2 linked regions of the Drosophila melanogaster genome follow. Changing the gene in region 1 together with any one later gene gives a genetic interaction. Each region holds a gene or a part of one and is shown on either strand. Other genes may lie near its edges. The genes, in order: Fas1 and bif.

Region 1 (5,228 bases):
GCTAATTTCGAAACTCTCTCCTAAACTCGGTGGTTTGCCATGCAAAACCACAAGCCGTAAGCCGTAAGCCGCAAACCAAAACAGGCAACCTACATTTATCTAAGCCATCAGCATGTAATGAGAAGTGCAGGCACCAGAGTAAAGAAGCCCGACTTCGACTTTAGAAGATGGAGATACCCTTTTGAACCAGTCTTGTCTACATTTTAAATACAACTGAGAAAATATATAAATCGCAAAATTTAAAAAGGGGATTGGATTGAAAGCAGCTACCTGCAATACGACATATTATTAATAAAATGATTATTTCATAGTCTTAAGAAGTAACTTTAAAAGGGATTTCCCAAGCCTGACTTTTTGATCCATTAGTTTTACGGCACTTAATTTGCATAAATGCCAGAAGATTACTTTCCGCCCTTACTTTTTTATGGCGACCAAATGGTCCCACCCTCATGTATAGCAGTACTCCAGATATGAGGCCGGAAATGCTTTGCTCCGAAAGTGGCAAACTTCTGGGCAAAGTTACAATGCCCTAAAGCAAGGGTGCAAGTGAGCAAGCCGAGTCCCCCTTCTTGTTTTTAATTTTTTTTAGTTGTACGCTCTGTTTCGCCTATTGTAACTCGAAAAGGTTGCCTTTTCTGTGTGGATGCAACTACTTCCCTGAGACACTTGCTGCAACAATTACAGTCTGTCACACGCTTTCTTTTTACTTGGAAGTCTAATTTACTTTTGAAGCAGCGTGTATTTCGGGTGTTAAATGCAGTGTTAAGGCAGACTAGAAAATTAAGCAGGGACTCAAGTCAGTTACTTAAAAACGCGTATTCAACTACTACTTCACCTACTATATAAGATAAAAGCAATTACAATAGACGAACTATGTTACTATTTTCCACTCAAATCAATTCTATTTTTTGAGTATAAGTTATGTGGCTTAATGGGCTACCATAAACCTTAACATATTAAAAAAATATATATATATTTCTCCTGGTGTAATGCTAATACCCCTTCTGGTGACTGAACCCCCGCCTTTGAATTCATTACACATGTTGTTCTTGTTATTTCAGCCGCGCACCTTTGTTGGCTTCTGAGTTTTTTACACATTAATGTGTTTTTGTTTTCTATGTACTTTGTATGTGAGTTGGCCTGTGAAGGTGTAAAAAGGCAAAACTAAATATAAAACTGTTATGCGCAGTGGACGTCAACGGCCGGCGTTTTTTCTACCATTTGCCTTTTGCTGGGGAGAGCCAATTCAGCAGACCTGGGCTTAATTTATGTGGCTTTTCATTTTTACATAACGAACTCCGCCATGCATACGAAATGTGGCCAAGTGGAGCTTAGCGGTCGGCTGGACCTGAACTGCCGCCAGGGATTTTAGGCAGCATCATCGATTTTCCGCAGTCCAACAACAAGTGAGATGGCTAAAGGTCAAGGACGATGCTGCCGGAACGAAGGCTACGCTACCTGTGCCCAAATGCGGGTGCGTCCCTCTTGCGCAGGCTCCTTTTTCCCGCCCGATCTGCCCCGCCTCCTCGCACACTCCACCAAGGCTTTTCCTTTCAAGGCCAACGAATTGGGGCGGCGTCTTGTGGGTGGTGGCACAATTACAGCCGAACTTTGATAAGTTGCCACTATTAGGTGGCAAGGTAAATTTATTGACTTCGCCAAAGCCAAGTCAGGCATAATAAAAAATTGATTTTATCATTGCAATAAGGTATCCGACCATGAGAAGAAATTAAGGCATCACAGAAATATATGAAACATATTCAAAAGGCTGAAAAAATTATTTAAACGCATAAATGTCTGCTAAAAATAGTTTGTTTTTTGCTCACACAAAAGTTATTTTAATTTTGGCAGTTTCCCTGGCTACAGAAAAAATGCGACTGATTACTGTATAAAATGTAGGCAGTTAAGAAATACTTTTCCAACGAAATGATATATTAGACTAATAAAAGCCCCTGAATGTGTTCAAATTTTACATGTTGCGCGTACGGATACCTAAACAAACATACTTTTGACAAATATTCGAAGTGTAACTCTTCGCATTAATTTAATCGGTTGCAAAGATAGAAAAGGATTACTAATGTTCATGGCAGGCAATCCCTACTGTACCCAAGGGTGAGCGGGGGGAGGGGGGGCGACGTTTGGTGGGTGGTGCTGGGGGCTTAATTGACTACGGACAAGTGTTTCGGTTATTTGCACCAACTGTTTCTGCTGCTACTGCTTTTCTTCGTGCTCTTACTCTACCACCTCCTTTCACCTCCTCATCCTCCACGTTCTCGTTATTCGCTTCTTCTTCTTCTTCTGACTCACCTGAGAGAGTTCCGAATCATCGCGCAATTTGTCCGCCAAATCGGCGGCGGCGGCTGCGTTCGCGGCGCAGAGCAGCGCCAAAAGCAGCGCTGCAGCGTTCAGCATTTTAGCGGACGAGCAGCAGCAGCAACAACAACCACAACAGCACTTGTTTATGCGCTGGCAGTGTACGTCGTTTGTGAGTGTGGCTGTGTGTGCTGTTTTGCGGGGGGCGTGTGCTGGTGTGAGTGCTGCTCTACGATTAAGATCTGCAATTCAAAGGCAAACAACAGTTAGCCGACGACAAACAGCATTTCCTCGGAAAAGAAAATATTATTTCACAGATATATGCTTGGCATGCTTTTTGTCCTCCTTGGTATTTTCTTTGTTTTTGCAAGGTTATCGCTGCTTCCTGTTCGCTTTTGCCCAGAGTTCCGTTATGTCACATAGAACAACAAGCGAAAAACGGACCACCGAGGAATCGGCAAGCACAACACAAACGCAATTTAACTAGAAACAAAGCTGCGCTTATTGTGTATTATTTTTTCTTCATTCCGTCGCTGTGTGTTTAATTATTATGCGCCTTTGCATTTCGCTGCTGCGGCACTTTTTTCTGTTTTCGATTTTATAGTTTTCTCTCTGGTCTTTATTCTGCGTAATTCTCGGAAACTCGGGCTGCAGGAATTAACATTAACGGCCGCCGCAGAAATTATGCAATGTCCACGGACCAAACTTGGAAAACACACAAATTCTTTAAGTAGCACACACAAACGAACGCAGCGCGGTGGTAAATCAATAGCAAGGGCAGCGAAATGGGCCGTGCAGCTATTTTAGAGTTATGCCCTATGCACAGTATAGATTTTCCACAGAGTTTCAATATAAGGGGAGCAAGTACCAGTCGGAGGAATCGCAACGTGCGCCACGCTCGAACGTTTTTTTCGAATTAAAACGAAAAGCGGAGAACAGGTTTAAGCCGAGCGTGTGGTGACGATAACGAGTGTTATCGATAGCTGTCGATGTTTCAAATCGCAACACTGTGCACTGTTAATAAATCGCTTAACATTTATATTTATTTGTGCATGTCTTTGGCGGTGACTCTTATTTATGTGCTTTTTATGCTTTTCCGAATCTTGTTAGAGGTAAAATATTAGTACAAATCGAGCGCTGCGTTGCTCTTCTGTGTCAGATTTATAATAATGTCTGTTTATCCAATCTTATTATTATTACAAGAAGACTGCTTTAAATTTTCTCATTTTTCGTTTAAAAGCATAAATAATCATTTTAACCGTTTCGCAAAATGTGGCAACGACAGAATGCGGTGGATAACTCCGCTAAGCAGAGTCTCTACTGTTTGAAAGATTTTATTCCAAATTGAACCGGTTATAATTTTCAAGCACTTATTTTTTTACTTTTCTAAGGAGATAACATTGAATTTTAACAAGCAGTGTACCTATTTGGTTCTTCTTACTTTAAGTAAATGGTAAAAGTCTTCGATAAACCACGCCGTTACTAAGCAACTTGCCACCAGCAACGCTTGTTTGCTATTGAAATCAAATTAATATCATTATCAGTTTTGACAATACCATTGCAAAGACCGAATTCAGAAAGCCAATAACGATGACTGACCAAAGCGAGCTGGATCAGTTGGCAACTGCCGAGCTGCAGAGGCTGCAACGCCAGCATCGGGGTCTCCAGCTGGACCTTCGGGGTCTCCTCGAGGAGAAGGCCAAGCGCCTGAAGAAGCAGAATCACATGATCAACGTACTGCAAGTGGAGCACCAGAAGCTGAAGGAGGAGATCAAGACTCTAGAAGGTGGTACTCATGCGCGAAAGAACACCAATGTAGATATCCACTTAATGGACTAGTCAGCCACATATAAAAGGTTTACATCGGTTTCAGAGAGAGAAGCACCTGGGCACTTTGCAGGAACAGCAGGCGGATTTGCAGAGGGTGCTCCAGAATGAGCGAACCAATCTCTGGGAACTGGAGGGCCACATCCGGAAAATGGAAAAGGAGATTGATGCCCTGCGGCGCAACGAAGTGCCCGACAACTGCTACAAGGACACCATCTGCAAGGTGCAGAAGAGCGTGGTCAAGTTGGAGAACCGCCTGGATGTCGTCAACAAAAAATGCAGCGATGTGCTCACTGAAAACAGCAAGATGAGGGACGCCATAAACCACATGTTGCAGGATCGGTGAGCATTTCTCGCTAGATATATACAATCTATAAAATACACACTAGGTTTATGAAAAGTCAACTAGGTGCTCTCCATATTATTAGGTTTTTATACCGAATTGAGCTAATGCGTTTCGACTCCACTCCAGGGCAAACTTCAATGACATGTGGCAGTCGATGGTAACCCAGTTTAACGAGGGCAAGAAGTTCATCATGGATCTCATAGACCAGTCGACACTGGCTTTCGACCAGAGAGAAGAGCTGTGCAACAAGCTGACCGTCCTAAAGGATCGCAACGAGAACGACAAGGTAATGCACATCCAGGAGATGCGCGAGATGCAGCGCCGCCTGGAGCACGACGCCAAGTTGCAGAAGTTCTTCGACATCAAGGGACAAAAGCGCCTCAATCCGGAGCTGGAGCAGCGCGAGCTGGACAAGAAGCAGAGTCAGAAGGAGACCTACGAGAGGCAGCTTCTGGAGTACAAGGAGATCATCGAGAAGATCAAGTTGCTCTACGGCGAGGAGGACGCGGACCGACTGGTGGCCCAGTTCAAGCGTCAGGAGGACGAGAACTTTGCCCTTTTCAACTATGTAAACGAACTGAGTCACGAGGTTGAAGTACTCAACGATTCCACTCAGGAGCTCCAAGATGAAATAGGTGTGTTGTTGGATTCTGAATTAGGCTATAGACTAGTCTTTATACTAAAATTTGTACATAATAATCCAAACAGAGCGCCAGAAATCGGAGCAGACCGAGAAGGAGTT
Region 2 (5,122 bases), on another chromosome or scaffold:
CTCACCACACCAGCCGGCTGTTCGCCGCTCTCAAGCTCTCCATCCCGTTCTCCACTCTCGCTTAGAATATATCGCACCATCTCCCTCTCCTGACTTCTTGTGTTGAGTAAACTCGATCGCTGCTTTGGTATTGGTGTTACTGTTACATTTGTTGTTGCTGCCGCATCGGGCGAAAGGGAGACGGCAACAACAGAGTGATGACCTCCAGTGGAATCGGAATTGGTATTGGAAATAGAAGATTTCTCAGACTTTTCCTCTGAACCGATCATGTTTCTCTTTTGACTAGTGCTACTGATTGTCGCCGGTTCTGTGAAATCTGTTAGAAAAAAAATTGAAGAAAGAAAGCAAATACAAATGTTATAAAGACAGAACATTAAAACATAACTTGGTTTTTTTTATCTTATTCGTCCGCAATCTGACAACTCTGTGAGCTATCGATAAGCGAATATCGTATCGATAAGCGAATATGTAAGGCGGCTAATTTAAAAGTATACTGGTATTGGAAATCGTAAAAGTTGGCAAAATGAATTAAAAACACTTGTTACCATTACTCATGGCTGGTTAACGCCAACTGAGCAATTGCAGATTGTGTAAGTCACAATTAGTCTTTCGCATTTTTCCAGTCAATATATTTCACCCTGATTACTATTTGCTACGGCAGTTTTTAAATATTTTAAAAACCTTTCCGAAGTCTATAGTTCGTTGAATTTATTTTAAGTACCGAACGGTATCATTTAAAAGGGATAAGTATGGAGCTCAAAAGTAAGTGCAATTATTTCGTTTGTCAAGAATGCAAGAAATAGCGATTAGAAATACGAATACTTGCACCTAACATGCCTTGACAGAAATGCTTGGCTTGAAAATACCTTTAATTTGCGTGTCAGGTGAAAGTATTCCAGTTTGTCCAACCACCACTCACCTGCAATTGCACCTGGAGCTGCGTTGGCTTCTGCCAAAGCCCCACAACTGCCATCGGTGGGCGAGGTGATGGACGCCGCCTGGGTGCGGGCCACGTTCGTTTTCCGGCGCTGGATGAGGTCCTTCTTCCACTGCGGCATGTCCGGCAGGAAACCGGAAGTGGGCGACATCTCAGCTGCAGCTCCCAGGCCAGATCCTCCAGCTGCTAATCCTGCTGGCACATCCGTGTGTAAGTCCAACGAAGGCCGCTTCTGTGACTCCATTATCCCCGTCTGCAATAGGCATTATTCGCAGCATTAATGCATGTCAGCCGTGTCCGCGGTGTCTGTATCGCAGTAGTATCCCCTATATAGTGTGGCACACTATCCAGCTCTACATCTCGACCCAAAGACCAAGTCTGGCGGACTGACTGGCCCGAAGCTGGTGCCAATTGCAAGTGCCCGGTGCCCAAGCTCCTCTACGAAGCAAAGAGGCGGGCATAGCCGACCCAAAAGATTGGCCAACCATGCAAATTATATCCAATTCAAGAAACTATCTCAAGATTCTCAGTTTACTCGACCAGTTTTCGAGATGAACCAATAAGTGAGGGTATAAATATATTCTAATAGACAAAAGTACTGTTTTTTCAATATATGTATATTACATGAGAAGGGGAGTAAATACTTTAATATACATTTAACAAAAAATAAGCTACGATAAACACAAGCTGAAAATGAAATATTTGTCATTGCAGCAATTATTTTCTGCTTATGTAGAAATTTTAATAACAAAGTCTAGATAAAAAATTGAATCATTTTTATAAAATCGCAGCCTGTAGAAATCTAAGTTAATAAATAATAATAATAGTTATGACTGTAAAACTCGCAGCTGTTAGCAGAAATTCTATTTCAACAAGTGTATGGTTCTATAATATATTTATAATTTAACATTTATCTTGGAAAATAAATAAGATGAATATCTTTTGAGTAGATAAAAGGTGATTTCGAATTCGTGGTGGCGATGGCATTTAGAGTTTTATTTTTCTTAATTGGATTAACTGCTGTTTTTACAGCCCGACAGCAAAACAAAACGTAAAACAAAGGTAAGAAGCGAAGAAACCCCAATATTTTTCCAGCATAAATATGCTAAACTGCCATAATGAGCGGAAAATGCGATAAAACCGAATATAGAGAGGAAAATAACGGAAAAGAAAAGCGGGGAAACTGAAACCAAACGATTCTTTTTATTGTTTGGCTAAAATTGATTGCATGGCTAGATTATTGCTGTTGGAATTGGAATTGTTTCTGTTTTTGCAGCTTTGCCTTTTGCATGCCGCGATAAAAAGTATTATTTTTAATTTCCCGTATCAGGCGTATGCATGTGTCTGTGTGTGTGTGTGTGTATGCATCACACGACTCCGCCGGAGAGAGTGTGAGTGTGTGCAAGGGTGGCTGAAAAGGGGAGAGCGATAAAAAGGGGCTGCAAAATGCAGACGAAGCATAAAATAAACAACCGACGACGCGCTATCGATTTTTACGGCATGCTGGAAGCACCAGCACACTGATACACACAGTTTGCAGAATAGGGAAATAAACTGGAAGTTATGCTATGCCAAATTGAGTTTTTTCAACAAAAATTCCTCGCAGAGAAACGCGAAACGAACTAGTGGAAGACTAAAGAGCCGGGTTTTGTTTATTTACACAGGAACAATACAATCGCACGCAGCCAAAGACACACATACGTATACCACATACACATGCATATATCCCGACGCACTGTTCCGTTAGTTTAGTTGGGGTTTTTGTTTTTCTCGGGCTTTCGCTGAAACCTTAGCTTGAAATCCTTACTTTTAAGATGCTGACTATTTTTTATAATCGGTGGTTGGTTTTGCTTCCAATTTTCCGATCCCGAGTTCCGTTTATCATCCGCTCCGCTGCGCCTGTTTACCCCGCTTTTACACTTTTCCGTTTCGCTGTAGCTCAACGAACTCGTCGCTCTCCTTGCTCCGCGCACTTGTCAAGCTTTCCCGACTGCAACTGCACTCGAACTCGGGGCGTGGGTGCACTCGCTGCGCCTTAAAAGTGCATCTTTCGCAGCCGAATCAGCGGAAAAATCTGCATTAAGTTAAGCCGCGTTTCCAATACACAAATACTGCTTATCGATTGTTGGCGCTATCGAGCGGAGCATCGATAGGCATCAGCGGAGTTGCCAGGTAGGACGATTATATTAATGAGTTGGAAAACTATTCGTACTTGATAATCTTCTACAAATTGAATCGTCGATCGTCGGTGCCGTCGACAATCTGGTATTGATATTTGCTGGTGCGGCTTTTTTTCACGAATTTTATTTTGCAGGAAACATAACAGCAAATATTATTTAAAACATTGTAATTTTATAAGGTAAATTATTCAGGCCTAAATACAGAAAAATAAATTAATTTAATAAAACATTTAAATCTAAAAAATTAATAAAGAATATGTTTAAAATCACATCGCAAAATGTAATATTTTTGTATTTTAGTCAGCACTTACCGTTATTATTGGCAGTAGTAACTGTGTGGCAGCACCGCACCGTGGCAAGTCGATAGTTTTTTGTATATTGTTGGTCTGTATAAACAAATAATATTAAAGTCATAATAAAAGAAGTGCTGGTAAAGACTTAATAACTCTATGTTCCTTAAAAATTTTTAAATATATCTCACAATGAGCATTAACTGGATAAAGATCACGGAAAGGTATGTAATATCAATGTTCTTATAGAGATTAATTTCTTGCATTTATATCTTAGAGCCCGTGAGGGCATCAAAATCATCAATGCCTTGCCCTACGAGACCTTTACGACGGTTCTGTTCTACACCCACCGGCAGATGAGTCCCAGCGTAGCATCGGCGAGTGCCACCAGTAGTACAGTGGGCACCAGTGTGACGACCACCGGCCGGGTGGACAGCAGCACCGAGGAGAACCCCACAAGTAACACCGAACCGGAGTACACACTCGAGGAACTGGAGCGATTGGTGGGCGTACCGCGTCAGGACTTCCTGCTGCTGATCAAGACCTTCTCCTACATCCTGCGTCGCATCTCCACGTTTATCATCAAGCCAAGTTTGCTGCAGCGTGAGCTGCGCGAGAAACTCCAGCTGGAGGATGAGGCCAAGATCGATGCCATATTGCGTTTGTGGGTGCGCGAAACGACGCCCATTATGAACAATTTGGCCAGCAAGCGGTACGAATCAAATGTCATCGAAGATGTGGCCTGGAAGCTCAACATGGAGATCTCCTCGCATTGCCAGCAGCGGGAGAAGACCCCGCTGGCCGTGCTCCAAATGAAAACGGCCGTCGGCGAGGATATCAACATCGAAATGACACAACCGGAACTAATGGAACTGTACAATCAGTTCGAGAGCATCCAGGGCGAACTGGACGCCATGCTGGCCATGAAGACTACAGGAGCAACGGCGCCTGGCAATCAGTAGTGGGACGCCATCGACCAATTCCAGTGCCAATTTTATTGTTGATTCACACAAAACTCTGTGCAAAAAGATGGACCTAAAAGTATGCAATACTAACACGATCGTAGCCAAATGTTAAACACGTTTTTTTTTGTTTAATTCAGTAGGGTTTTTCCTATGTTCTGGCTAATTTTCCGAACGTAGCCAAATTTTTACTAGAGTAAGAGTTCGGCTTTGATTTATAAAACGTTGCAATGATTAGGATCTTCCAAACAGGACTAGTTTTTAAGTTTTAGAACTTACCCTCTGCAAAATAATAAATCCTTTAATAAATTTAGATAAAACAATGTGTGGCACATTTTACAGTACACTTTAATGGATCTCTGCATGCGTTTTACTCGTCTGCTCCACCTCGGATCATAATTCTACTGATAAACATTACAAATTATTACAATGATATATATTTAATATATGTCTATATTGTATATGCATATGTTATTCATCGGCCTTAGTATGCGTGTGTGTGTGTATAATGGAGTCGTATATTATGTATGCATTATACAGACTTTCTAGTTTCATCTTCTCAAACTTTTGCATAATTATGCATATGTATTTATTGTTATTACGGGAGGGCGGGGATTTTGGGTTGCTTCGTATTCAAATTAGGGGCTTCGTTGTATTTTTCACTAATCTAGAAGCAAAACGATTTCTATTGCACTCTTTCACAGTTCGGTTAATCATTTCAACTAAGTTTGGACAAAATACAAATGTATGCAA

Evidence for each region.
Region 2: of Fas1 (region 1) and bif, changing one enhances a phenotype caused by changing the other (phenotypic enhancement), as found in Drosophila melanogaster (one study listed by BioGRID).

The regions. Positions count from the first base shown.
Region 1 is NT_033777.3:16,623,296-16,628,523, reverse strand, and holds the start of Fas1 (fasciclin 1), read right to left. Parts: upstream 3,287-5,228; 5' UTR 3,182-3,286; intron 2,556-3,181; 5' UTR 2,413-2,555; coding exon 2,308-2,412; intron 1-2,307. Other genes in the region: Ccdc114 (Coiled-coil domain containing protein 114), read left to right, coding at 3,904-4,128, 4,187-4,482, 4,613-5,121, 5,195-5,228. UniProt on the Drosophila melanogaster protein: Neural cell adhesion molecule.
Region 2 is NC_004354.4:11,676,912-11,682,033, reverse strand, and holds the start of bif (bifocal), read right to left. Parts: upstream 3,065-5,122; 5' UTR 2,745-3,064; intron 1,191-2,744; 5' UTR 1,182-1,190; coding exon 920-1,181; intron 317-919; coding exon 1-316. Other genes in the region: Vlet (valette), read left to right, coding at 3,600-3,631, 3,685-4,369.